4 linked regions of the Astyanax mexicanus genome follow. The protein of the gene in region 3 binds, or shares a complex with, the protein of the main gene of each other region. Links are inferred from orthologs where the notes say so. Each region holds a gene or a part of one and is shown on either strand. Other genes may lie near its edges. The genes, in order: med24, retinoic acid receptor beta, med1 and med21.

The links.
Region 1: the proteins of med1 (region 3) and med24 are in contact, whole or in part, in a cryo-EM structure (PDB 8T9D), measured with the Homo sapiens proteins. The link is inferred for Astyanax mexicanus from reciprocal best matches to the Homo sapiens genes MED1 and MED24. Residues at the interface, in NP_004765.2 of Homo sapiens: Phe375, Asn377, Gly436, Leu437, Gln439, Glu441, Ser453, Asn459, Asp460, Ser461, Leu462, Val463, Cys464, Tyr480, Lys481, Gly482, Asp485; in NP_055630.2 of Homo sapiens: Lys7, Ile10, Trp14, Lys15, Arg17, Leu47, Ala50, Met51, Ile52, Gly53, Pro54.
Region 2: the proteins of med1 (region 3) and retinoic acid receptor beta are in contact, whole or in part, in a crystal structure (PDB 1XDK), measured with the Mus musculus proteins. The link is inferred for Astyanax mexicanus from reciprocal best matches to the Homo sapiens genes MED1 and RARB. Residues at the interface, in NP_001073587.1 of Mus musculus: His642, Pro643, Met644, Leu645, Met646, Leu648, Leu649, Lys650, Asp651; in NP_001276689.1 of Mus musculus: Ile264, Val267, Lys271, Phe276, Ile281, Gln284, Ile285, Leu288, Lys289, Pro435, Leu436, Glu439, Met440.
Region 4: med1 (region 3) and med21 share a complex: the UniProt entries of both Homo sapiens proteins name them as parts of the mediator complex. The link is inferred for Astyanax mexicanus from reciprocal best matches to the Homo sapiens genes MED1 and MED21.

What each region holds. Positions count from the first base shown.
Region 1 is NC_064422.1:21,445,747-21,452,625, reverse strand, and holds the start of med24 (mediator of RNA polymerase II transcription subunit 24), read left to right. Parts: upstream 1-3,856; 5' UTR 3,857-3,877; intron 3,878-5,237; exon of another isoform or gene 5,238-5,395; intron 5,396-6,705; 5' UTR 6,706-6,706; coding exon 6,707-6,836; intron 6,837-6,879. UniProt on the Homo sapiens protein: Component of the Mediator complex, a coactivator involved in the regulated transcription of nearly all RNA polymerase II-dependent genes.
Region 2 is NC_064410.1:607,264-615,202, reverse strand, and holds the start of retinoic acid receptor beta, read right to left. Parts: upstream 3,015-7,939; 5' UTR 2,289-3,014; coding exon 2,129-2,288; intron 1-2,128. UniProt on the Homo sapiens protein: Receptor for retinoic acid. Retinoic acid receptors bind as heterodimers to their target response elements in response to their ligands, all-trans or 9-cis retinoic acid, and regulate gene expression in various biological processes.
Region 3 is NC_064422.1:3,176,770-3,183,602, reverse strand, and holds the start of med1 (mediator of RNA polymerase II transcription subunit 1), read right to left. Parts: upstream 3,015-6,833; 5' UTR 2,994-3,014; coding exon 2,891-2,993; intron 852-2,890; coding exon 745-851; intron 641-744; coding exon 562-640; intron 1-561. UniProt on the Homo sapiens protein: Component of the Mediator complex, a coactivator involved in the regulated transcription of nearly all RNA polymerase II-dependent genes.
Region 4 is NC_064409.1:37,875,380-37,882,566, forward strand, and holds the start of med21 (mediator of RNA polymerase II transcription subunit 21), read right to left. Parts: upstream 3,001-7,187; 5' UTR 2,938-3,000; coding exon 2,896-2,937; intron 710-2,895; coding exon 595-709; intron 461-594; coding exon 360-460; intron 1-359. Other genes in the region: tm7sf3 (transmembrane 7 superfamily member 3), read left to right, coding at 3,254-3,362. UniProt on the Homo sapiens protein: Component of the Mediator complex, a coactivator involved in the regulated transcription of nearly all RNA polymerase II-dependent genes.

The sequences.
Region 1 (6,879 bases), about 18 Mb from region 3:
CTTCAAACACGAACACTAGATCAATTATTTATAAATACAGCCAGACTGCGTGGAAGATAATTACTACTGTAGAATCTGTAGAAGTTTAAACTGCAGAGCGAAGCAGAGCCGCGGATACGAGGTATAAACGCGCTCCGCTGCTTAGCTGGATACACCTGAACATTCGTTCTCAAACCTCCGCAATTTCAGATCATTACCTTATTTCATTTAAATAGCATCTTAGTCATAATATACGTACATCCCTTAAACATAAAATAGAGAGACAGAAAAAGCTCGCACCGTGGTACAATGATCAAACTCGTACGTCAAAGCAGTTAGTACGAAATTTAGAGAATATTTTCACTCTGCGTGGAAAGACCGTCTTGTTAAATATAGAAAAGAACTTAATAAAACCATAGAGCTAATATAATCCTAGAGCTCTCTTTAGTGTTATTTCCAAATTAACTAAAAAACAGACAGGTACTGAACCTCAGACCCCAGCCATTCACACCAGCAACGCTTTTATGGACTTCTTCGATAGTAAAATTGAAAACATCGGGATAAAATTAAACAGATAAACAGCACTTTCTCTCTGTCATCTGATGCGGCTGATCTAGAACAAAACCCTGTTACGGAAGTTAGGTTGGAAGCCTTTAACCCATTCCACAGCTAGAACTAGAGAAAATCATCTCCTCTTCAAACAGCTCAACCTGCACACTTGATGCAGTTCCCACAAAATTACTAAAACAGGTACTACCAGATATAATTAAACCTCTGTTAATAATAGTAAACTCATCGCTCACCCTAGGCCATGTACCCAAAGCCTTTAAAATAGCTGTAATTAAACCTCTGATCAAGAAACCAAATCTTGATCCTAGTGTACTGTCTAACTATAGACCTATTTCAAACTTACTGTTTATTTCTAAGATTTTAGAAAAAGCTGTGGCCCAACTACTTTGCTCTTACCTTAAATTTTCATTGTTATGCGGATGAAACGCAGCTCTTCATTTCAGCCAAACCTGATGACAGAGTGAGATTAAAGAAAATCATGGATGTCGCACAACTTCCTCCTATTAAATAGTGATAAAACAGAAGTTCTCCTAATATGCCCAAAGCTGCTAGAAATAAATGATCAGACTTAATGCTAAATCTGGCCGACTTCTCCATCACACCTGGTTCAGCAGCTAAAAACCTTGGAGTTATTATAGATTCAGATCTAGCATTCGATAAACAACATATTTAATGTTGCTAGAACAGCTTTTCTACACCTCCGTAATATTGCCAAGCTAAGAAATGCCCTATCACTGCATGACGCAGAAACATTAGTACATGTCTTTATTACCTCAAGGCTAGATTATTGTAATGCGCTACTGTCTGGATGTTCCTGCAGTAACTTAAATAAACTTCAGCTAGTTCAAAATGCTGCAGCCAGGGTCCTAACTAAAACTAGAAAATGTAAGCATATTAATCTAGTCCAATCATCACTGCACTGGCTTCCAGTCAAATTCCGCATGGACGATAAAATTCTCCTGTTAACGTATAAAGCCCTACACGGGCTCACTCCTGAGTATTTGCGAGACCTCATCTCCTATTATGAACCACTGCGATTACTTAGATCTCAGGGTGCTGGTTTCTTAGTAGTTCCTAAAATTCATGCCTCCATGTCTATGTTACTTTCTAGATCTGCCGGAGACATTAGCCACACTCTGATAATGTTTTATATTCTCTGTTTTACATAAATCCAGTCAAAACTAATTCCATCTTTCTGCCTTCCTCCGAGTTACTGACTGCCCACCTGTCTGACCCAATACCGATGGATCTTGGACCCTCAGGCTCTCATGTCCCCTGTCTGGCCAGACTGGAAGTTTCTGAAGTCAGCTCTTCTCCATCCACCACAAATGCATTTTGTTGAACCAACATGACTTTATTATATTATTTTAAAGCTATTATTTTATGTAAAATATAGTATAACTATTACAGGAGAGCTTTGGCATACTTCATATGAAGATTGTATTTTTGCAAGCTGATCTATTATTTACGTAAAACATTTTGTATATCCCTAAACTGCCTAGTACTTTACATAAACATTTGCAGAAAGTTTTAGAAACTTTTCACACAGTTTGGAATCAATCAGTAATTCCTGGTATCCAGGATCAAGTTTTCACATTTTTCCAAGTTTTCCAGCTTATAGAGTTATCAAACCCCTGAAGGAGTGTGTAATTGGGAAAAACACCAATATGCAGACCATGAGGGGGACTTGTGCTCTATCTATCTTTGCCTAATACTTGCAAATTAAAGTATGATTGTCACTCAAAATGTTAATGAACATGAAATAAATAAATAGAAATTTAAATTTTAATAAGTTTTAAGTGTGCTTTGTTTGTGTCATTTTTATAAACTAACTAATCTCCGGACATCAGCTGGGAAAGGGCGAATGCATAGGCCTATTAGTCAAATAGAAACGTTAGTAAAGACCCTCTGAAAATAAAAGAAAGTTTAAGACCTTAAGGGAAAAAGATCTGCGTTTTAAAACTGGAAGACAGGATAAGCAGAAATCCAGCTTGTTTGGTGGGAGGAAGTGGAAGCTGCCCATTTCAGAACCGGAAGAACCTTCATTAGGATATTTTGGTACAGTGAGTGGAAGAGTCAGTGTTCAGGACTTCAATCATGGTTCTGGAAAACTGGAATGTCTCCGCTATAGATGGAAGGTTCTGGTACCAGCTTGGCAAACTAAAGTAAAGGAGAAAAGAAAGGAGGACATGGACAGTAAAGAGGACAGCCAGCAACAGTAATATAACAAAAATGACTAAAGATACATTTAGTGAGCGTATAAACATGCATTTAAATAATGAGATAGCTAATTAGTATATTGTTTGTTAAATGTTTATGTATTAGCTTCAGCAAATATGTACATTAAACAGTCACATTGGCCCCAATGACCCACTGCATGAGGACGTTTTTTAAAATAACCATTGTGAACCAGATTCAGAATAAGGAAACAATCCAAAACCATCCTATTCTAACAACAAAGCTACATCTGGTTACAAGTTGAAAAACTCTTCAACAAAAATACCAGTAATATCTGGACACTCTTATCAAATCAGCAATGTCTTTAAACTCTACTGATCTATTATTGCTAGGACATAAATGTGAAGTGGCCACAAAAAGGTTTTAAAAGAAACACACACAAAAAAACATTTGCATATATGTTCATATAATTCTTACTTTTTCTGATTCATTCTTAGATCTAAATCATAATTTTGTAACCGAGAAATCATGACAGAACCAATTTACTCACTTTTGCCAGCAATATGAGAGAATCTTTTCAGCACAGCTCAGTAAGAATGTCATTCAGCTTTTTGTGGTTTTACTAAAGCCATCAAGGCTATAAGATGAATCTTATCTGTTTATCACATTCACACAAACAATAAGCTTCTGTAACAAACTGCTGATTATTACTATAAGTTTTATTTTTTATCTACCAATAGTTCTAAGCTTCAAGAAAGAGTCACCCAAGAGTCAAATAAACTAAATTTTCCGCAGGTGCTGTAGGTTTTATCAGTCAGTGAATAACGATTGTTCTTTATGTTTTAAATTGACTGAATGTATCAGAATAATGTTGTTAAGAGGTAATGAAAGCTTATAGCCTGCAACAGGCATCATACAAGCATTTGGGTTTGTTCAACAACCTAAAACAGACTTGTTTATGGAGTTTTGACTGTACCTTTTCAGATGGGATTCTGCCTACCACCTCTTTACCACTCGCCATGAGCGCTCCCATCACAGAGTAGGCCACAATACTGCCGGGCAGAAAAACATACTGAGTTGCCGCCATTCTTTCGAATTGGTCAGTTCTTCGCGCCTGACACTCTGGCTGAAACTCCTATTTTTTAGAAAGGTAAACAGGAGGAACTACAGTTTGTATGTTTTGAAATGGTCTTATTTTTTTTACACTTTTAACATTATTTATGGGATATTTGGATAATTTTAAACCTATTTAGTTAAATAAATAAATTAATAATAAAACAAACAAAAACATAGCTGTAACAAACAACAGTCAGGTGACCCCTAAAATATTTAATGAAGGCAAACTGAGACCAACAATGATGGGGTTGGGGTGCTTTATAAACGAAAGCTCCTTTGAATTTTGGGAACTACTAGTAAACCAGCACCCTGTGATTTAAATAATCATGGTGGTTTATAACAGGATATGAGCTCATAACAATAGTCTAGCCTTGATGTAATGAAGGCATGTACTAATGTTTCTGTGTCATGCTAAGATAAAGAATTGTTTAGCCTGATAATGTTACAAAGATGCAAGAAAGCTGTTCTTAGATATGTGTTTATCGAATGCTAGATCTGAATCTATGATAACACCAAGATTTGTTGGCAAGATTTAACAGTCTGATCATTTCTTTTTAGCAGCTTTTGGCGTAATAGAAGAACGTCGGTTTTATCACAATTATGTGGTATTGATAATGAAGCATCGGCTAAAAGCGCAGTATTTCAGGATGCCGAGGGTGAACGAAGGTGGGCTATTTGACTAAAGTTCGTATTTCTTATTATGTTTCACTACACCCCAATTCCAGTTCACACAGCATTTCTCCTTTACCGCATTTTCGCCTCACACTAAAGATAGTGTCTTCCTGACCTGTAGGACAGGCTATAGCTGTGTATAAGAAATACATCAACTTTTTGAGAGAGATTTTATGATTAATTTAAAGAATTTGGTTTACGTGGAGGTGGAATAATCTTTTTAGCAACCAAAGCTACTTGGGACACAAACAATCGATAAGATAAATATGATATAACGTTTACATTTAAATAGCTAAAACAAATATGTATTAATGCATCAATATGTAATAAACTATTTAGAAGTTTTAAATGACTTTTTTTATTTACGTTTTTTAAAACAGTGTTTTTCTGTTGTTGCCTCAAGACAACATTATTATAAACTCTCTCTCGCTCTTTCTTTCTTTCTTTCTTTCTCTCTCTCTCTCTCTCTCTCTCTCTCTCTCTCTCTCTCTCTCTCTCTCTCTCTCTCTCTCTCTCTCTCACTCTGATATTGACATAAAAATAAATAGGAATTCCCGGATGTTTTGCGCAATTTGGAATTTTTACATCAAGAGAACATACCTGGGAAAATACGTCTCTTTCAGCGAAACCACTACATACCTTCCGCACGCACAAAAATATATTAATAAAATGTAAAAAATTAACAATAAAAAACAGTTTGAATTCCAAGCTCATCTGTCTGCTGATCGAGCTCGGTCACAGCCAACCAACCGCGTTAGAGCACACTCAGCGCGCTGGACCAATCACAGCGCGTGTTACTGTTTCCAGTATGGCGCCGGTGGTAAGCGATTGAATTGAAAAGCAACATTAAATCTAATCTTCAGTCAAAGAATAAAATCAGGTAAATCACCCTTGTACTATATTTATACTATAATGAAGATAATAATGGTAATAAAAGGCTGTTTAGATATCAGTTTAATCGTTAATATATGCGCGCGGTGTGTGTTTCTCTGTGCTCCTCTGGTTGGTGGGTTTGTTTGTTGATGTTGAGACACTCACTGTTCTGCGATTATTTATGTTATTATAATAACTGTATCGTTGAATGTGGGGTATTTAGAGTGAGAATTACACTGAGGTATCGCTGCGTGTGAAAGATATTTTATTAATAAACTCTGGAAAGTCATTTTCCTACTTAGTGTGATTTTTCTTTTATTACGTAGCGGTATATATCTAACGTTAACATGCTCCATATTTCTCATTTAGGTCACTATTGAGAACGTGTCCGAATCGTAAAGTGAAATTGGAACGTGATTTTGAGGGCACTATGAACTCCCACAATACTGTTTATGCTGTCTATACACTAACGTACAAGTTTTTGAAAAGACTCTGAAAATAAACATAAATAAATCATAGTCTGACACCCTGTCACATTTAAAGAGAAGTCTCTCACTTTTTACAGATTTTTAGTCACATGATAAGATTTTGCAAAGACTGGGGATCACTATTTACAAGACTGCAACTAGATTGTTTCTGAGATCATTTCCCATCATGCTTCTGCTGGAGTTTAGATACAAAACATACTACATATTAATCTAAAAATAATCTGTATATCAATACTGTGAGTTATCAGAGACCCACAACCTTTGTCCCCATCAAAAGTTTATTTTTTTGCCGCACTGTTAGTGTGTTTGTTTTGTGTTTAAGCTTATAAGCTTCTTTTCCCCTATTTTTTGCAACAACTTTGAATATTTAAGAAACACAGTTTCCCTGTTTTACATTTTCCTTTGTTTTAGATAGATTTAATGTAATACAAAACATCATTCTTGCTAAATGTGTATTTATTAAATAACACTGCACAATAAGGCAAAGTAGTGCAAAATGGAATAACTGTAAATATAATGACTTTAAAGTGCTTCCTGTGTTTAAAATACTGTACATATTAAAGTTAGAGCAATATAAGGTATTTTAACTGCAGAATGTGTTCTTTTTCAAGTCGTTTGTAAACAGTTACGTAAAATATTATTGCTTTGCCTCTTCCGTAGCTCTCCTATTGGTTGTTGATATTGTTCACGTCACTATTTGCGTGAGCCAAGTATCAAGATTTACGATAACATTAAACACGGTTGATTTTATCTATTTTATCACGGTTGAATGCCAGAATGAGACAAAGACTGACTAAAACTTTTAATCCTAATCCTAACATCTTTGCAGAATGAAAGTGGTGAACCTGAAGCAGGCCATTCTACAGGCATGGAAGGAGCGCTGGAGCGACTATCAGTGGGCCATCAACATAAAGAAAAACTGCCCCAAAGGCGCCACGTGGGATTACCTCAACCTGGCAGGTGGGACTAGGATTATTTCAGTGCCAAAATATACCAGAGTAGT
Region 2 (7,939 bases), on a different chromosome or scaffold from region 3:
TACTACAGTGAACTGAGTGCAGCTGTAATGCTGCATACAGTATTATTAAACAAGGATTCTTACAAGTAAATAAAACAAGTGACAACTATAAAACTTCTAAACTAAAAGTACAATTCGTATGAGTTTCTTTGATTTTACCAAATTGAAAACCTCTGGAATATAATCAAGAGGAAGATGGATGATCACAAACCATCAAACCACCAAACTGAACTGCTTGAAATTTTGCACCAGGAGTAAAGCAGCATAAAGTTATCCAAAAGCAGTGTGTAAGACTGGTGGAGGAGAACATGATGCCAAGATGCATGAAAAAACTAAAACTGTGATTAAAAACCATCAGGGTTATTGCACCAAATACTATAGTTTATAGAATAAAACAACAATGTTCATTTTACTCAAATATAAACCTATAAATAGCAAAATCAGAGAAACTGATTCAGAAACTGAAGTGCTCTCTTCATTTTTTTTCCAGAGCTGTATATGTTATATATGGCTACATGATATAATGCTGTCGTGTATACATAGATAAAAACAAGTTGTGACTACGATGTAATGTTCTTATTATTAAGCATGTCATGTAAAAAATATCTAATCTAATAAACAAAATAGAAATGTATGCATGTAATCCGTTTGCAATATATTTAAATTAGGGATGCACAGAATTTTTGAGAACTCGAAATATTCAGTTATTTCCGCATTTGATATAATGAACAAAATCAAACAGTGACTATATTATTATATTATATTATGTCATATTGCATTTTTTCCCTAATATGTTTATTTTCAACAGGCCCCCTTCTCTGGTGGTGTTGCATACAAGAAAGCTGCTACACACAGTGCCAGTAGGGAGTGTGGGAGAGAGCTGGCACAGAGCTGATAAACAGCAGGTTTAAGTTCATTTTTCCAGTTAATAAAATGAAATGATATAAAGTCTTCAGCATCGTTATTAAATTTAGAATCTGTTTACACACAGTGTATTACCCCTTCACAAAGTGTATTTTATTCATCTAAAAAGTTAAGCTTGCACGAGCTTTTACAGGACCAGGGTAGTAGTGTTTAGCTGAGCAGTAGTGCAGTTAACATAGCCCTAGAATTAGCTTGTTTACCTTGTTAAAACTCACTTCTGAGTTACTGTTGCTTTTTTGTGCTTTCAATATTGCTTTAACGTACTGTAGCACTGTCAAATTCTGCTGTGCAGAACATTGTGGCACATAGAGAAATGGATCGGTGCTCACAGAAAAAAATGAAATAAAAAATCACATGCATGCAAACAGTGACTGAGTGCTGCGGGCTTTAATTTACAATGTGAATGTCCTTTTAAATTTCTTTTTTATTTATTTTTTTATTTATTTAACTTCTAAATCTACCCTCACGTTACCTAGTTTAACCTCATCTCTCTCTCTCTCTTTTCTCTCCTCTCCCTTCTACATTCCTTGTTTTGTATCCTGATTTTTAAAAAAGCCCTCTTTGTTTTCTGAGTGTTTTGTTATTAGGATTTAATGACATGTAATATGTTTAATTCTAAAGCAGTGGAAGCAATAGGCTTACATTTTATATTGTACATTTCTTGTACTTTTAAAATGTATGTGTTTAGATTTTTTGTTATAAATGTTTAGTGTTAAATAAAAAAAAAACATTTTTAAAAGAGTAGTTTTATCATTCCGTTTACTTTAAATAAGAAAAATATACAAAAAATTTAAACGATTCAAAATTAAAGTTAATTAATTTAAAATTCAAAATTAATTTTAAAAACTATTAATTTTTAGAAACACAGTAATTCTTTCTATATTCGCACCAATATATGTTTTTGAGATTGTTGCATCCCTATTCTGCCCTATACTAAATGTATGCACAATCTTCAAATAACTGTCACCGCTGCATATGTGCACGCATTAATTAATTGGCCGCGGCGCGCGTGCGTGCGCCAATTAATGAACTCATGTCATGTCAACACGCAGCAATGTCATAGAAAGAAGCGAGCGTCATATCAGCAATCAAGCAAGGTCACGAGCGGTCCGACCAACAACACTAAAAACAAAAAAATAAAGTGTGTGTGTGTACGAGTGTGTGTGAGACAGGGACAAGAAGAGACATAGAGAAAGTGGAGAAAGTGTAAAGGACTTGACCGTACAGTGCGCGCCGCCGCGCCGGTGATGCCAGTCTGCGCGCGCGAGCCCTCGGAAGCACGCCTTCAGCGCCTGCTCCTGCAGCATGCACGAGGACGGGGGCGGAGGGTACAGGTCCAGCATCTGGCCCGGGCTCACCGCGAGCACGTCCATGCAGTCGAACATACCGGGGTCCACTCTGTGTCCCACCTCCTCCCAGAACCAGCAGAACCACCAGAACCAGAACCAGAACCAGGAGCAACAAAAACAACAACACCAGCACGCACGAGCACCAGCTTTGTAATTCACGCGCGCGACTACCGGACCTACTCCCGGTCCAAACTGTCCCCCAACTCCATCCAAGTCCTTGTTCTTGTTTTTCTCCGGTGCTTCTTTTCCAACTCACGAGCTGGACCTTTTAGCACGCGCGCTCCCTCTAAAAGCCGATGCGCGAGCGCGTGTCATCCTCTGTTTTTGCTTTAAAACAAGCACAGAAACAAGCGAATTCAACATCAAACTCTTTTCTCCTCTTTTCCTTCATTTACAAAATCACGTCTCCGAGCCTAAAAGATGACGAATGGGCTCATCCTGCCTCCGCGCGAGCTCTGTTTCCTACCAGTACGGTGTCGCGCGCGCGCGGAGTGAGGGATTGAATCGCCTAATGTATGCGGCTGAACTTTCCGTGAACCCCTCCGAGGCGGCTACCCTTCAAATGACCCCAGCGCTCTGACATCATCACCGAGTCCCGGGATTCTCACGCACAGAGAGAGAGCGCGAGCGCTGCGGAGCCACACCCGCATTCCGGCACGCCACGCCTCCTGCGTGCTCCCATTGGCTGGAGCGTTCGCGCCTACTGCAGTAGGATTGGATGGAATGACTAAAATCGCAAAACTCAGAGTCGCTGCCGGCCACTCGCAGCGATTATGGGCGGGGATTTGTGGTGACGAGGGCGTGGTTTGGCGATGAGGGGGCGTGGTTTGTATGAAGACGGGTGGAAAACAAAATAACACAGAATAAAGAGATAGAGAGAGAGAGAGAAGAAAAACACAACACTCGATGATAGCCTAGTTTTTTTGTTGTTTTTTTGTTGAAGAAAAAAAAAGCTTCAAAAACACTTAAGATATTTTTTCGGAATATTTTTTACAAATAAAATATTTAAATATATTTATATATTTTTTGGTTTCTTCACCAATGGGACATGTTTTTTTACGCGCCTAGACAGTCTGAAAATATGAGGGCAGTATAAAAAAGAAAACAAAAGCAGGAAAAAAACAACCCACCCTTCTCTGTGATCTTTTTGGGTGTAAACAAGGTTTTTATTTTTGTGAAAGGCTCCCATACATTTTCTTCACCGTTTCTAGAATGTCTAACTCTTGTGTAATAATAATAATTCAGGGTTTCTGCATATATTTTACATTCAAATTAAATGAAATTTAATGGCCTTATTTTCCTTCCTGTTCATTCTCTCTCTCTTTCTTAAGGCAATTTAAATGTAGTAAATGTATCTAAAATATCTACAAATATCTAATACTATGTAATTTATAAACACAATTTGCTCTACTATATTTATCAATCAAAACAATCCAACACCAGAATGAATCAGGTATAAAAAAAATACACTTAAAAACACTAAAACACTAAAAAAAAAAATCCTTAAGATTTTTTAAGAATATTAAAAGCTTGAGAAAGAAACACTAACAGGAACCAATAATCTAATGAATTAAGATTTAAAAGCAAGAAACTCTTAGAAAATTATGAAGAAACACAGTGAAGGAAAAAAATAAAAAGTTATTAAGAAAGGTAAGAAAAAAAAATAGTGCACGTAACAGAAATACTGATAAGACCCAAGACCCAAAATTTTACTTCTAAAAAGCATAAGGATGTAATCCAGATTTTTAAATGCATTACAATAAAAAAGTGAAACAGACATATTAAAAACTATAAAATACATTACAAACACATTGCCACAACTGCAAACAACCGTACCTGTTCAGACCTTCACACACACACACACACACACACACAAACACACACGCACACAATTCTATACAGAATATATCTGATGTTTGAAGTATTTAGAATATTAAAAACGATAAAAAAACCTTTAAAACCGCATTAAAAATACTTCATATAAAACTGACCAGCCCCCAAATTAGACCTTTAGCCTATGTTCACACTGACAGACTAAAATGCCTGAAATCACATTTTCTTTACCTTAAAATGACACAGATCTCCTTACACATGGCTTTGTTTTGTTTTCCTACCCCATGTGCTCTGCCCTGTCTCTGCTCTAGCCCCACCCCTAGTCATTACTGTTGTTGCCTTGTGTCTTGTTTTTAACCCCGCCCCCTCGTTACAGGTCCCAGGTGTTCCTCACCCTCCTTGTGTACTGAAGCCTCTTTGTTTTTTAACCAAACATAGTATTCAAACACATAACATACAAAGCTACAACACATACCCCATTCACACATTTGCTATTTAAACAGCACAATTATAACAAGATGACAAAAATAATAATAGCAATAAAAATAATAATAATAAAATAAAATTCATGGTGCTATTGTCAGCATCAACATCAAACACTTTGACAACATACATTAATCTTCAAATAGTTTAATGAATAGTTTAATGGATCCTCTTCCATAAAACGCCTAAATTGACCCCAGATCTCCCTTAAAATCTCCCTAAATTGACGTGACTTCTTAATTGCAAATGTTAATTTCAACCACTGACCTAATGTGGGTGCCGACATACTTTTTCATTTACAAGAGATCCAATTTTGATAACTTTGTTGCATGGTCTTAGATTGTATATATATATATATATATATATATATATATATATATATATATATATATATATATATATATATATATACATATATGATTAGTGGGCATGCAACATGATTAAATGTGTACATCAGATCAGATTTCATGCATCTTAGAAACAGGTCACTTAGATTTATGAATGTGAAACATCCAGATCTAATCCGAGTAAAGATATGTGAATTGATTAATGAGGCTTGTAATGTGAACAAGCCTCGTCTTGTCTCTCTTTAGTAACAGAGGGGGTCTGGAATCGCTCCATGACTCTCCAAACACCGCATTAGCTCCCGCTCCGGCCGCTCGCTTGTCCCTCTTCCAACTCACACAACTTTATACCCAGAGCTGCGGCGCTGCTTAATCCACCAAATTTAGAAACCAATTTCGCAGCTACCGGAGTCGCTTAGGATATAAATGATGTTCCTGAAGCTGAGCAAGACTTTAATCTTTAATCTTCACTGCTTACGAGTGCACATGTGTAGCTGCCTATGCCTATGTGTGTGTGTGTGTGTGTGTGTGTGTGTGTGTGTGTTCTGCTAGACAAGAGGAAGAGTTTTAGAAGTTTTGGTTGGTTTGGATTAGTGCTCTAAAGCCCATCCTGCACCAATAAACGCTAAATATGTAATAAAAGGAAGGAAGATACAACAGAAAATTTACATTAAATTTGAACTGTGTTCCAAAACTGCAGCACAAACTCGACTTTTAAGGGTTAAAACCTCACCCTGACCTGAATTCTGTTCAGACAGTACTCTGTGGTGTGAATGGTGTAGCTGGAGGAATGTGACCGCACACACTCATGACTGTAGTGCAGATAAAACAGAAGACAGATAAGGAGGGAAGTCTATTCAGTTCACTCTTTATTCTACTGAAGTGCAGCAGTATATATGGAGTGTGTCATTTCTGTAATCGTAGCCTAAAGGAACGTCTGGCCGGCTGCATGTTCTCGTGCGCGGCTGTGTGTTATTGGCTGGATAGTGTGAAATTAAAAGCAATTTAAACACGTGAATCAAACTGGCTTTTAAAGTCATGGTAAAAAGTAGAAACGCTGCAGAGGCTTAACTACAGTAACGTCCAGGAGTTATAAGAAGGCATAAAAACATACCATTCACCTACATGCAAAAAGGCTCTGTGTAAATTGTGAGATTATGAGGTACATGTAGTGTAAACTACTGAAAGACACTCGCTGAGCCGTCGCTGACTGACCTCTGATCAGTCGAAGACACAGCAAAAATTTGGCATGCTAGATATCTGACCCAGTCGGCGACTGGGAGCCAGGAGCAGCGGCCAACCTACAGCTAATGAGTGAGTCCTCTATGAATAGAGCTGAATGGAGCTAAAAAAGCCAAAAATGGTGGCTAACTACAAAATATTCTTCTGAGTATTCCTTTACATTTAGAAAGTAGAATAATGAATGTTTCTTAACAAAGCAAATAAACCATTATTCCATTATTCTACAACATTCAGGGTTTAGTCAGTAGAGATGCTATCAATACTGCAATATGAGCTGATTGGTTGGTGAACTAGAGCCTTTAGAGTTTAAAAGGCTTTGAAATTCTGTTTGCAGTGTTGAAACATTTGATATAGTTCTGTGTTTAGGATATAAGTACATGTTTTAGTATAAAATTGATCAGACATTTATAAATTTATATGAAACCGTTCATGTTGGACTCACTTTAAGTGCGTATTCTCCTCTCTATAGAGATTTTCTAGCATAGCATCGATAGTTCTCGAGTGTGTTTAGTTCTGGTGTGTTCTGGTCGTGATGAAACGTGTTTTTGGAGAGCAGTCAGGTGAGTTGGAGATTTCTCACAGTGTAAAATCGTGTAATTTGTGGCTTTGTGTCATCAATCAGTTCTTTCCTGTAAAAAAAAAAGTCTCAACACCGCAATGACTCTCGATTACAGCACAAAAAGTTTACAGTATGTACCCCTGTACAGAGAGTAGTGCTATTCCAGGTACAGCATTTTCATAAACAGTAAATATGCTTGAGAAATCAATCCTACGCTTTAATACTGAAGCAGATTCATTTCTGTGAGTAATATTTTGAAAGGCTGGGGTGCTGATCGTCAGTGCAGGCGGTGTATAATATCTCCAGGCATGTTGAAAAGAAAACATCCATGCTAATTGATGATGATTTAGTTTCCATTCTTCTCTGAGCACCATTACGTTCTGCAGCACCGTGTTTCTCAGAGGCGAGCTCGGTTTCGAGGCGAGATCGATCCTCCGCTGCTTTATGAATAATGGAGAGACTCGACAGAGGAGCTGAAAAGAAAACCCCGATCCCTCCTCCCTCCACTGCACACGGTCCCTGACCCCCCGCGGCCCCCGCGCTGTAACTCTAGCCCTCCTCATCGCCCTCTTCTGCAGACGCTCTCTCCCCTCCGCAGCTCAGCCTTCAGCCCCGCCAGGTAATGGATCCACCTGGAAATCCACCTGTAATTAGAAAGTGATAATGAACCGCTCCATCAAGATAAGCCACTTTTTGGCATCGCTGCTCAGCGTCTCCGTGTGTCGCGTGCCAAGACTCACTCGAGCGAGACGCCAGACAGCTCCTGATCATTTAATAAAGTCGGACGAGACCTGACGTCACGGGAGGGACAGCACCGACACAACACAGCGAGATTTAGACAAGATTTAACTGATTTAGAATAGAAAATTTGACCAATCTACAGTATACAACACAGCAGGGGTCTGGCCAGATATTTTCCATTATGTGGCCACAAAAAAAAAATCTGTTTTGGAAAATAAAGTATAATGAGGTGTAATGGGATTTAGTGCTACACACTAGTAGCTCTCCAGCCCAGAGGTTTGTTGAACCCAACTGCAGAACAGTTGATCTCAAAGCAGGTAAACCCAAGAAGAAAAGAAATAAAAATAAAAAAAAACAAACACACCGCTCCTCACATGGAACCCAACTTGTGTCGTCAGGGTCGCGCTCCAATACACTAACGCTGCCCTGGCTAGTGAATTGGGAAGGCAGCCGAAGGACAAAAACGAAGGACAGGACGCCCGAGA
Region 3 (6,833 bases):
CTTATCCAAGCCTGGAAATTGGTATTTTTAAATTCCAAGACTTTTCCAGGTTTTTCATGACCGTATGAACCCTGGTTTACTTGCTCAGTGAAAAACTTAAAAACAAATAACCTTCATACAAACAGTGGTTTTATATCACAGTGTTCATTAAAACATCTCCACAGCTCTCCATGCAATATTTAGAATTCTCATCATATCAGCAGCTGGTTTAGTAAAATCAGAGTGTGCTGATGGTAAATCAGCTGCTGGTGGAACTGAACACATCCACTGGGACGCTGGCTGGGGTTGACCAGGAGAACCAGGAGGAATCAGGGACCCAACTTTGCTGTTTAGACTTCCTCACAATATCTCCACTAATTTCTTCAGAATAAGAAATTCTGGTTACTTTTAACTGCATTTATGTTTACCTGCATCTGATCTAATGTTTTTACAGCAAACACTCTCCTAATGTTTAAATAAATAATTTTAAATGATTAATATAGAGGATTAGAAACTAAAAAAGCACAGATCTGTATTTAAAAATTACATTTGTTTGAGTTGTGATAACCAGTAAAGCTTTACCTTTTAGTGCCTTCTGTAGTGTCTCCAAACAGCTGAGCAGAAGCTGGTGTCCGGCTGAATTCATCACCCCACGCTTTTCCTGAGCACAAACAGAAACAGTGTTAAAAAACAAACAGAGACTGTATTAAATGCTCAGTTACTCCCACCACTACAGTCCCTTTAGCCCCTTTGCTCTGCTCTCACCATGGCCTGTCTAACGATCTTGCTGGTCTCCTGCCAGGGCCGAGCGGCATTGTGCTTGGCGTGTAATCTCTCCAACAGGGCGGACACCCGAGTCTGCTTCTCTGCCTCTGAGGGGACAGACAAAACACAACAAAACAAAAATTAACAGTAAACAAAACGCCCTTGACCTGTTGTCAAATTTTTGCAAGTAAAATTATAACAATTAAATCACAGCAACTAAAATCATATCATTTAGACTATACAAGCTATACAATGTTGAAAATGTACAAAACGTGTTCCTATCTCTCCTCAGCTATCGGTACAAGGCTGACAGTCAGTATTTGATAACCCACTACATAAGAACACAGGCAACATTCTTTTCTGGAAATCATTGTTTTGGCCCCAGACATTGTATCCAGAGTGAGCGGTTCAATCAACAAATGCAGATTAAAGATGCATCATGCAAAAAAATAAGACAAATACGGGAAAATATTCACAATTCAAAAATTTGCCTTTCATAAAATATGGGTCTATGAGATTTGCAAATTTTTTTTTTAGTATCATTGTCAATTGCAACACTTTTTCTGCCAAATTTGGAGATCTAATTACCCAAACCACTCATTAGGACTCCCAATATCACTGGTAATCCCCTCAACAGTGAAGACCAATGTGGTGGCACGCATGTGCTGCTGACCCACATCACCATGGGGAGACATCATGGGCAGGGGCAAACATCATGTGGTGAGAGAATGCTATCTACCCACCCACAGAGAGCATGTCCCAACAAAAAACAAACAATTTTAAAGGCCTTAATGAATTTGCCTTAAGTCACACTCACATCAATCCCTGTTATAGGTGAAAAGGTTGATCGGCTGTGTATCAGTATCGGATGACTTGAGCTCCACAGTGCAGTTCTGTATAGTGATTCACAGACTTTGAGCTGAGCTAATGTTATGTTAGATTATTGTTATTATTAGAATTATAACTTATTTATATATTTCTACGATACTAAGATATTTCTAAGATATGCCCCTAAACCACTGATAGGGCCATCTCAAATTCCTGTAATATTATTCTACAGACCACATGAAATCCACATGCTTCTTTCACACTCAGATGATGCTTCTGTATCTCTCAATATGTCCTGAAATTATAGTTGCATAGTGGAAAAAATTACACTATTTTTGTTGTTCTGCAATGTTTATTGTGATATTCAACTAATTTTAACAGATTTCTCCAGAAGTCAAATATTGAATTAAATGTTAAAATCATAATAATGCAATCCACGTATCCACTGATGAAGTAAAATTAATGATACTGGACAGATGGAAAATAAGAAGTGTGTTCATTTTTCTTTCATATTAAGCAGTAAAAAGTAAAAAAAACTGACAATAAACAGGATACTGATACTGCTACTTCTTGTCATTACATATGTAGGATGGGTCTCGCTATCCTTCACACTGATTGGTGTGAAAATTGATGTCAGTTTGGCGAGTTGTCTTTCCATCATGTTTCCAAGTCCCTTTCAAGTGAAGGTGCATCCCACAGCAGAACTCAGAAATTAGATTCCACTCAGACTTAATTGTATTTCTGTTTATATATAAGGTGTCAAAATATTGATTAAGGTGGCTGTAATGATGGGACAGATTTGTGAAGCTGGGTCCCAGTAAAAACACACTTACGAAGCTATTCATGGCCCATATTCACCAGTAACCCACCTGAACCATGTTCCACCTATTGGACCCTGTTGACCGGGTATCTAAACTTCAAACCTGCGCTGTTCTGTTAGTTGGGTATTTAGCAACCTATAGCTAACTAATCAGCGAATCACTTTTAACAGTTTCTCTTTTAAAATACTATATGTCCTTTTATACAGACACCTTGCCATAACCCTATATATAACTCCCACATCTGGAATCCTTATAATAAGTAACATTATTATACAGAATTTATTAAATAGGCTGCCCTGCTCTTCAATTCATAACAGCAACAGATAATGCTAATGCTACTGCTAACACTAATGCTGGTATAGCTTGCTCTGTTTGTTAGCTAGCTAGCTAAGCTAGGCTATGTGGGTAAAAGACCCAGCTCAGTTCGGCTGGTAAAGCGCGGTAGATAGAGATACGCTGGTTAATCCGGCGGGTGAAAGTGATCCGCACACACGTACCGGTTCCCTCCTCCACCCTGAGCCGCTCCGCGGGCCCTGGGACCGCGGCGGTGTTTGCAGGCTCCGCGGCGGGGCTGCAGCCGGCTAACGGCACCGCCGCCATCTTCGCTCCCTCACGGCCGGTGTGACGCAGCGAGGGCGCCTGAGTTTGGGTCTGTCCCAAATCTCACAGTAAAAGTGCTGGGCTGTGTTCCAAACCTCCCACTAAGCTCTAAATTCAGGCTTTAGGGGTTTACAGGGAAAAAGCAGAGATATTCTTCTGTGTAAAACCCGAATTACCCACCTTCTTTAATGCAAATGTTAAATCAAAGCTTTCTGTCTGAAGTGTTTAACTCTATTAAAAAATAACATTTACTTAACATTGTGAATTAGGTTTTTTCCCCCAATGATGCGCATTATATGGAGGAGATAAACATGCTGAAAGGAATAAAAGTTCATCATATTTGTATATTTTTATATATTTAATACAGTAAACACACTTCCATATTAGAGCAGGTCATATTGCTAGTATATTCTAGAGGAGGTCTGAAACTGAACACAGAAGACCAAAACAGAAGAGGCCAGTTCAGTCCTTCAGTTAAAGAATTTTCGCTGTGGCTGCAAAAAGGCAGAATAGAGGAAGAAGAGAGTGTAACTGAGCGAGAGACCGATTGATTGATTAATGAGAATTTACTCATTGGCGCAAGCTACGAGATAATAAATTGTTTGGTTACCAGATACAGATCTGGCCAGCTTCTTGTTGGAGGAACGATTTATTTTGTTACGCTGTGTTATATAATCTAGTCTAGCTTGCCTCCTAAAGTTTTTACATTATTTCATGATGTTGTGGTCCAGATTTGGGTAATTAGGGCATAGATATTGCACATATTTTGATCCAGATTAGAATTTTTACTGATACTTTGTTTAAGTTTTACTATGTGTAATGTTTTATTTAGTGCTTCTGTGTAGTCATGTAATCATATTCTGTTTCATCATAGCTGTAGACACTGAATGTCTTGGTTGAGTCATCTTTTTTACCAATAAAGAAAACCTGTCATGCAAAATGACACAGACAAATTATCGCTACAGTTCAGATAGCTCTCTTGTGTTGGAGATGTACTGGCTCTGTGTCATTTCACTCTTAAACAGAAGCAAAAGAATGGAGAGGCTCAACCCTTACCTGGACATGAGTTACACTCTGCAACTGTAGGGGGAGCCCATGAACAAAAATATTAATCTTATCCAGTGCCCATTTAACACTGGAAATGAGTTTTTTAACAATGTAATTTGTTTCGTACCGTCAAATACAGTTTATCTCATTAAGAAAGCACCGTATCTCTATTTCTGTAGTAGAAAGGGAAACTTTGGCACAGCTAGTCTAGTAGGGGTGTTTTAGAAAGCTCTGCATAAAGGTTCCCTTTTCTACTGGAAGGGCAGAAGGGCATCCATATATGGCACTATGACACATTATCAATCATTCTAGGCCAATCGTTAGCCATCTAACATTTATTCACATTGATTTGCAGTGAATGTGAATATAAAGAGAAACCTTTTAGACAGGAGAATTCATTTCAGACAAACCAAGTCTCCCTGAAGCTGCGGGAGTCTCCCGCATTTCGGTAGTGGCTCCCTGATACCCGCGAGTCACATATAATCTCCCGGAATTCAGAACGAGTGCCCCAAACGCGCACTGCACACAAACACGCACACAGGCGACAGACTTTTTTTCTCTAATCGCGTGTGGGAGAGAGAGAAAACAGAGAGGCTTCTGATTGGCCTGTTCTCTGCAAAGAGTCTGTGAGACAGCCAATCAGTTTTTTTTAACCTCCCTGAAATCAACTTTTGCAACTTGGGATGTCTGTCATTTAATCTTTGAAACAATGAATGCATAAGAAAACCATCTTTTGCAATATTGAATATGTAAGAAAAAACATATAATATTTGAAACGATAAAGCCAGGTTCTGTACCCATAACCCTTTAACAGTATTTGTAAGTTCATATCAAATGAGTTTGAGGTCAGTCTGGATACTGTAGAACTACTGTATCGCTTGCTTATTGAAAGTGCTTTATGTTATAACAGTTTGGTTTGGGACTGATGAGATTAGTAAAAAACTGGTAGGAGAAAGTCAACAACAGTACTTAAAGAAAGGCAATACAATTTAGAAAAGGATACACTTCACCCTTTCAACTTACAATTCTAACAGATGCCATCAGGCAAATGATGATGCCAACAGCTACTAGTAATATTCACAGGCGATTATTTGTACCAAATGCAATAGAAATTCTGAATACATCAGTTGTTTAATTTGTTTTGCAACTTTTTTATTTTAAAATATGTGATATGTTGTAGATATCTTTGTGCCATGAGTGACCAAAGATTCATTTTCACATTTGGACAATAAACACATTCTATTCTATTCCGTTGTAAAATGTTTTACAACATGATGCTTATTTTAGATAAGAATACTTTAATCACAATATGAAACTGATAGTAGGGTTCAGTGATCGGCTGATTATTGCCATTTTTTATAGGGCAGGACAGCTTTAACCAGCACATCCAATCTCATCACATCCAGGATTTACATACTTTTCCCCCCTCACTGTGAATGTAACATGTTGTGTTTAGTAAAACCGTGCAAACATATAATTTTATTGTGTAGTATGTCTTCCTCTTCATGTAAGGGAGTTTTTCCATGCCACTGTTGTCGCAATAATAATTGTCATGTCTGTGGTGCTGCTCAAAAAAGGACCTGTTTTTCTCTGTAAAGCTGCTTCGAGACAACTTTTGTTGTAAAAAGCGCTATAGAAATTAAATTAAAAATCAAATTGAATAGTCAGAGACCCCTCTTCTGTATTCTCCTATCTTGCAAAAAGAGTCTGTAAAAAGTACTAACACCAGGGGTGCCAATAATTGTGGAACACATGATTTCATTTAAAATATTTTCCCCACCAAATAAAGGCACTTGAATTGCATTGTTGTCCTATAATTATAAAAAAAATAGTCAAATTGACACAGACAAAAAAAAAGTATTGTTACTGTGGGTGTCGTGATCAATTGTGTGTACATAATGGAAATATCACTAAATGTGTGGCTGAAATGTGTGAATAGTGTGAAGGAAGAACATGCATGGAAACACCAGCATCATGTGGAGTAATTAATATCATGTTGTATCATAAAATAAACAGTGTATTATCATTATTTGGATCTAGCTAATTCATGGAAGCTGTCCTGTATTTAGTTGGTTTGGTTAATGGTGGTAATTACAATACATAGGTCAGGTAAATGCTGTAAATACTACACTAAATATGTGACTGAGTTAATGGCATATTCTGTACTTTATTTAGTAATAAGTTAAACATAATAAAAGAACAGTTGATCACATTTTGTTGCATTATTTATTATCTCCTCTGGATATCATTAAAATGTACTTTACTGAGGATGCTGTGGAAACCCTTTGGAGAAAAGTTAAGCTAGACTGTTATTTATATTGCACATTTTATTTGTCAGTATTTTCCCATATTTTGTGTTTGTTTTAAATAAACTGTAAAAGAGATTATGTTGCTTGAAAATCAGTTGTGAAAATATATACATAATATATATACATAAATAAATATATACATAAATAAATTATAAATATAAATATAAAATGTTAAATCAATTATATACATCTGCTGTCTAAATATCTGCATTGGCCAATAAAAAAAACAATATCGGTCGATCTCTAGCAGGGTCTTTGACTGCTAGTTTTCAGTACCAGGGGGAATGTCCAAATTCACTATACTGTAGTAGCACAATGCAAACAGAGGAGGGCAGCATTGGCAGACATGTTGAAGCTGTAAGGACGTGCTCCAGTGAAAGACGCTGAGTACCTAGAAGCATATTTTTTTCTTAGAACAACCATCCCATAAAATGAGCATCAGATAACAAATAAGCATATGCCTTTAAAAAGCCACCAACATTCG
Region 4 (7,187 bases), on a different chromosome or scaffold from region 3:
TTACTCTAGTGTTGCTTTTGTGGTTGCTAAGGTATCCCAAGTGGCTGCCATTGCTTTGCTTTGACAAAGTGACTGTTACGATATTACAGGTGTTTGCATGACATTTCTTAGTGGTTGCTAAGGTGCTGCTAAGTAGTTGCTAGGCAGTTGTTATGATATCCCAGGTGCTTGTTAAAGTGTATCAGTTTATTGAGTGTCCTTTTACTACTCTAATTAACCCATTCTGCAAACCTGTTAACCAATTTTACAAATTACTTATCATAACTTTAAGCAAATTAACAAATACATTGTAAAATGTTTAACCAATAATCAGGTTTCCTAACAACTCTCAAAATCTCATGAGCATTCATAATACAAACCTGTAAAGCAGCGGTAGATTCTTCACTAGGCAGCGAATCGATCAACACATCAACATCTTTCGCTGTCCTTGCAATCAGGGCTGCAAAAAGCTGTGCATATTCTGTGGCAAAAAAGACACAGCGATTAGCCTGAAGCAGCATGGAACAAACAATCACATTGGTTTGAAAACATTAATAACTGCCTGTTAAGCTTTAATAAATGTGTCACTGTGAGATGATGAGAATTTGTTTGGACCTTCTGTGGGGTTTGATGGCTGGTCCTTGTTGATGGCTGTCTGAATGTTGCTGAAGGAAGCAGGTGGCGCACATTGCTGCAGAACTCCAATGGCATTGCAGAACTGATCAGCCAACTACATCACGCAAAATCAAGACAAACATAAAACTGAAATTTTACTGCATGTAGAACTCAAATAAAACCCCCCCAAAAAAATCACAATTTTTGTAAATCACTCTGACTTTTGGGTGTGGAGGAATCTGATCTGATAACATATAAACTCTTACATTAATATTGTTTTCTACCAGCTGCAAATCAAATGATATAGTTTATATTGAAACACTAACATGTATACTATTTTTAGCATATGTTATTGTAGTGTTTCTGATGAAGTGAGTAGAGTCACACATGGAACTGATGAGCTCTGTCTGGCTTTAGTTACTACTGAGCCTGGTGTGGTTCCACAGTAATGAAGTTGGTTTAATGAGAAGTCTGAAGAAAGGAGAAAGGTGGTCTGGGACACCAGACTTGACTGTTGAGACTTTTAATGGTGTTGCATGCTTTATTAGGCAGAACATTTATGAAGGTGATAACTAGAGCCTCTGAAGTAGTGGGTGATTAGAGTAAGTAATCTATTGTAATGTAATTCCGACTAGTAAGAACTGTAGTTTTGGACATCAATATTATTATTATTAATCTCAAATTATATTGCACATATACTACAAATATCCTAAATGCACTTCCACCAGTCAAAAGTACAACCCTCCTTGACACAATGTATACCCTCAGGCAACAAACCATTTTGTTGTTTTTTACACAATAGCATACTTTACCTTATTTACCTAATAGTTAGTTTTTTTTTGGAATGTTACAATGCATGTCTACTTCAAATACAATAATGTGTATGTGTGGGCCATAAATAAAAATATTTATGTGCAAGATATTCTTTTATTCTTCTTGTAAAGTTTCTAAAACAGTGTTTTTTCCGCTGCCTTCGGGCAACATTGTGTAATAAAGCAGTGGCTCTCATTTCCTGCTAAAATTGAGATAGAGAGCCAAAGAGGTGCTGATTAAACATTGTTAATACTCAATATTCATTTTACAAATATGTGTACATAAAGTCTTTCCTAGTCAGATAGTGAAAATATCTGAAGATAACATTAGTAATGTAGAAATCAATCAATGTTAAGCTACATATAACTAGTCAAAATGACACTGTGTCATTCTGGTAATATGACTAGTCAAAATATCTGTATAGATCAGTAGGTCTGATATCATTACTGGTAAACATGTCATTACTGATATTTTCACATTTTTTTAATGTACATGTTTTAAGATTAAAATCCTAATGTAATACAAATAATAGAACAACAATTTCAAAACTTATTTTTAACATTTTGTTGTAGCAATTACTAATCCTACGGAAGGTAAAACATTTAATCAAAGCAGTTGAATTGTTAAATTAACGGTTGAAACAAACCCGTAGAATTAAAAATACACTTTTAAAATGAGCTAGTTATATCTCCAGCACTCCTACATTCTCTAAACGAGGTCAGATGAATGAACTGTGCTGTAATTCTGTCAGGATGTTTAGTAGCTAACCTATGTGTCACTAAGGGACTTCATGAGATAAAATGACTGAGAAAGTGCTTTACTTGACACATCATTTAATGGGTCTGTGAGACGAGTCACCATGGGCTCTTTTGGGTTAACTAGTAAAACCTAACCCATCTAAACGAGCTAACCTATCTATCTATCTACATTGAGAAGGTCCTGAATTGTACCTTTTTTCTGGTAACTTAAGTACTGAGCTCGAGCTGTATCACTACTGTCATTTTATGCTAAACGACCTAACAGAAATTAGCTTAACGTCAGTTAGTGTAGCCTTGTAAGCTAGCGTAGTAGTTAATACAGTAGTAATACAGAAAACATTTAAAGATATTAGGTCTTGTTTCGGAGAGACTAGCTAAGTTATTAACTTAGTTAGATACCGCGAATATCTGTCATGCCAACAAGTCTGGATTTATCTAGCGGCGACCAAACGTGTCTAACATTAATGAACTAACTAACATGTATTATTGCATAGCCTATCTTTAACATGTCTAGTTGGCCGGCTAGTTACTCCTCTAGCCCATCATAGCTGTAGCGTTAGCTGTATCTGGCTAACGCTCGCCGCAGTTTCATTTCAGTCATGAGTAAAAGAACAGCAGCACCTCCCATTCCCCACAAACACACCAACTGAGAACTAGACCTGCTTTTTACCTCACACAGTGCGACATTCGTAAAGAATTAACAGTTTAAAACACATAATTTTGATCTTACTGAGTTGACTGCGTCCTGCAGCTGTGTTAGCCTGTCCGCCATCTTTTCTGGTTATCGCCCCCCGCCGGCCGGAGGGCTAACGTCGCGGGCGCGCTCACGTGACCGTGGGGGCGAGATGGTGAGAGCGTGAGCGTGAGTGTGAGAGAGTGTGAGTATGTACAGGAGAGAGAGAGAGAGCGCGGGCTGACAGTGTGAGAGAAGGAGAGAGGGAGCGAGCGGCGGCTGGTGGTGGTGGTGTGTAGATCATGCGCCAGGCCTGCTGCTGCTGCCGGAGGAGGCTCGGTGGAGGTCTGCTGCTGCTGCTGGCCGTGTCCGTTGTGTGTGTCGGGGATCCGTTCCTCGGCCCGAGGGGCAGAAGATGAGCTCTGTGATCGGGAGAAGAGCTGCTGGAGGAGGTGGAGGTGGTTTCTGCGGTTTACTGTTTGTCGTCCTTTCCTGTCTTCGGGTTCTGCAGGCGCAGGATGAGAGTAAGTTTCTCTTTCGGGCTCCTGAGCTCTGTTTACACACTTGACAATCCGCATAGGAACACAAACAGCAGCTGCGATTTCTGCTGAAGTTTCGGCTGAGACGCTTTAAACTGTTAATCTGAGTAAACTAAGATAACATAACCTGGCTGATCTGTGCAGAAACCGAATAGAACTAGCTAGAAGTGAACTAGATTATTTTAGCTGTCTGATTGTGTATACATGTAGGTTAATTCTGAAACGGACCTCTTGTGTATTATTCGAGATTTGTTGAATATATTTTGTATTTTATTTTTTTAGGACCACCTTAAATAGATCCACGAGTAACTACAGGCTGTAGCTCAGTTCACAGCGCCTGAGAGACAGAATGGGGGGACTGCTGCTCCATTTAAGGTGGACTGACACAGTCGAACATGGAGACACTTGGGGTTAGCTAACTGTTAGATAGCCAACTCTTGCCTTTTTCATGTATACTGTTAGCTAGCTATCTTGTAAAAGGCTTACTTTAAGACTGTCTCTCCCTTTCTCTCGTCTTGTATATTAATTTACTTTATTCTGACAGTAATTTGGCGGGATTTGTCTGTGAGCATTAACCCTCACGTGAGCGTGATCTAATGGTCAATAGTAATAGTTCAAAGCAGTGGTTAAACCATTTCAGTGTCCTTTCTATTAGGGTTGCGCGATAATATCAGAATTAAATAACTAAATTGGTATGGGCCAAAATGTCTTTTTTTTTATCACACTCATCTGACCATTTGGGTGATATTTCAAACCGTTTGACGTATTTATTGTATGTAAAAAAGGAACCAAGAAACCCTGGCCACACTAATATAATTGGCTGACATTGGCCATGCTACTTTAAAATCCATTAATGTTTAAAAAAGGGTTTAGAGCAGTGAGTCTAGGTGAGGACCAGTTAAGTAAATGTGAAAGCAGAAAATGTGAAAACAAATTAAATTGTATTGTTAGCATACAGCTGGTTGAAAAAAAAGCAAATAAATGTTACATTTGTTTCCAAAGTTATACTAGAGTGTATAGTCTTTCTCTCTGTTATAAATGTGTATATCGGTATCGGCAGAAACATAATGTCAGATATCGGCCTAGAATTCCGACGTGTGCATCCCTACTTTTTATTTTGATATTATTTGAGCCAAATTTGTCTTCTTTAGATGTGAGGTTTCTGCCATAAATTTTCTGTCCTGATAGTCTAACAAGAATAAGTTCTTGCTTCTTTACTTTATATTATATTATTGTTAAAAATATGAAACCACTGTAGATCATAAACTGTTCAGAAGAACTAAGTTATCTATATACATTTATGTGTTTTTTTTCTGGGTAGTTGAACAGTATTTATGTACTCCAAGGACAAAGGTATTGAAACTTACTACTGATTAACTGATTCTTCAAAAATCAACACACATTCTCAGCTCCCCATTTTATGCCAAATGTACTGAATTACTACTCTAGCCCACACCTGGCATTAGGCATGCCAGTAGGTTTATGTTTTTTCTGCTCCAGAGAGTCCTGTTCTATTGACAGTAATTCTCTGCAGGGACTAGAAAAGCTGTGTGTGTATTTGCACATTTGTGTCAGCAATGGAGACAACATAAAGTGGTTTACTGCAGTCACTGGAAGGCCTATAACTAGAGCTGGGCGATATGGGAAAAAATCTTATCACGATATAGTTTTCCATATCAGTCGATATCGATATGTATCACGATATAAATCAAATCACTTTGTGTCACACTTAAAGGTTTGTTTTTATTAGTGAGAGAATAAGGGAGTGATGGAAGTTTTATCACAATATTTTTTTCTGTATCTCCATAATTATTAGGGCTGGCCCGAATAGCATTTTTTGAGCTCCGGATATTTGGCAGTAATTGGTAGCGAATATTCCAATATTAGTTTAAAAAAAAAAACAAATTAATCATGAACGCGAGCCAGAACCCGAGCTTGAACGTCAGCCTGACTCAGGCGCTGCATGAACTCGGGCTTTTTTCCAATTTTTTCCAATTTTCCATGACTGAAAAAAAACTTGGGCTATAAGCTCAATATTAAATATTTCGTTTGTTTAGAAATTATTTTATATTCTTAAACCATGTTAAATTATATTAGATTAGTAGGGCTGGCCCGAATAGCGTTTTTTGAGCTCAGAATATTGGGCACTGATTGGCAGCCAATATTGGAATATTTGTTTTTAAAAAGACGGATTAAAAACTGATTAAAGTAAAACAAAAATTGCAACTCGGCCCCTTTAATTCACCACAAAGTTTTCCAAGACCCAGCCGGAAAAAAAAAGATTTCCCACCTTTTCCTCAGCTGGGTCGGGCTCAAAAAATGATTTGTGATAGGCTGTTTTTTGGTTTGTTTGTTTAAGCACTTAGGCTTTTGTACTGCTGCAGTGCAATATTTAGATTTTATATTCTGAAATTCGTTAGGTTTTATTTCTTTTAGCATTTTGAACTTTTTTTCCAATTTCAAATTTATTTTTTTCTGTTCGTTATGTTCTATCGGTCCTTGCGTTTTTTGTAGTTGAAGTTGAATTTAATATTGAAGTTCAATATTTCTAATTTATATTTTGAAATTCGTTAGATTATATTTATTATTGTATTTTGAGCTCACTTTAGTTGGTTATTTTCCAAATTCATATCTATTTTTCTGTTATTATTAAATGTTATTAGCTTATTAGCTTAGCTTGTCATTTAGCATACAGAACTTCTCACGGATTTTTAATGAATGTTGATTTATTAATTTAAAAGCTGTACCTTATTAAAAGTATTTTAAGCCAGACAGACACTGTGTGATTTTTTAATGAGTTTATCTGCACTTTTAAATGGTTTGTCCTGTAGGAAACGCACACGATTTGTATGCTGACACTGTTGTCTGACTGAGGAGCTGCTTTCCGTCAAATGCAGCCTGTAGGCAGGAAAAAATCCAGCCAGAACCGACCATATCATGAGCCAGTTTTAAAGCCAGTAATTTAGTAGAGCATTAAACTACAAATCTGAGATGTACCTGCTGTACTTCTTAATCTCTGCCCCCAAAACGGTCCATTAACTTGCTTGACAGACGCGTCAAATCCCCCGCGAGCACGCGCGGCGCACAGCGCACCGATTAATTCATGCGTTGAGCTTTAAACGCGCAGCTGAGCTGTAATTGGGGAAATATCACAAAAATCACAGTGTGATTTGTTACATTAAAAAAAAAGACCATTTTCTTCCGCCTAATCTGAGAGGAAAGCGGTGTTCTCGACCGGCCCGAGTTCATGCAGCGCCTGAGTCAGGCTGGCGTTCAAGCTCGGGTTCGGGCTCGCGTTCAGGCAGATAATCTAAATGATAAATGATTTTGTGTTTTTGCACTTGGGCCATAAGCTCAATATTAAAAAGTTCGTTTGTTTAGAAATTATTTTATATCCTTAAACCATGTTAAATTATATTAGATTAGAGGAAAGTCATTTAGACATCATTCTTAAGGTGTTTTTGTCCTGTTACCGCTCCGCAAAAAAACCTCTTCCTTTAATCCGCGCCCCACATACACATTTTTGCAGCACCTGCCCCGAGGTCCTAATATAAATTGAATTAATTACATTTAGTGCTTAAAATTTACTTAAAATTTATTTAAAACGTGCTGAACAGTGCGGCCGTTTATTCCCAAAGTGTGTCGGGCCATACTCCACTATTCTTTAGGGTTTTTTGTTGCATGCATGAGAATAACTATTACAATTTTCTTAACTATTTATTAATTTGCTCCAGCGTCTTCTGGATTGATTACACGTTGTGTTTTCGTTGTTTGCCGCGCCACTTAGACGGAAATGGAAATGAATGTTTA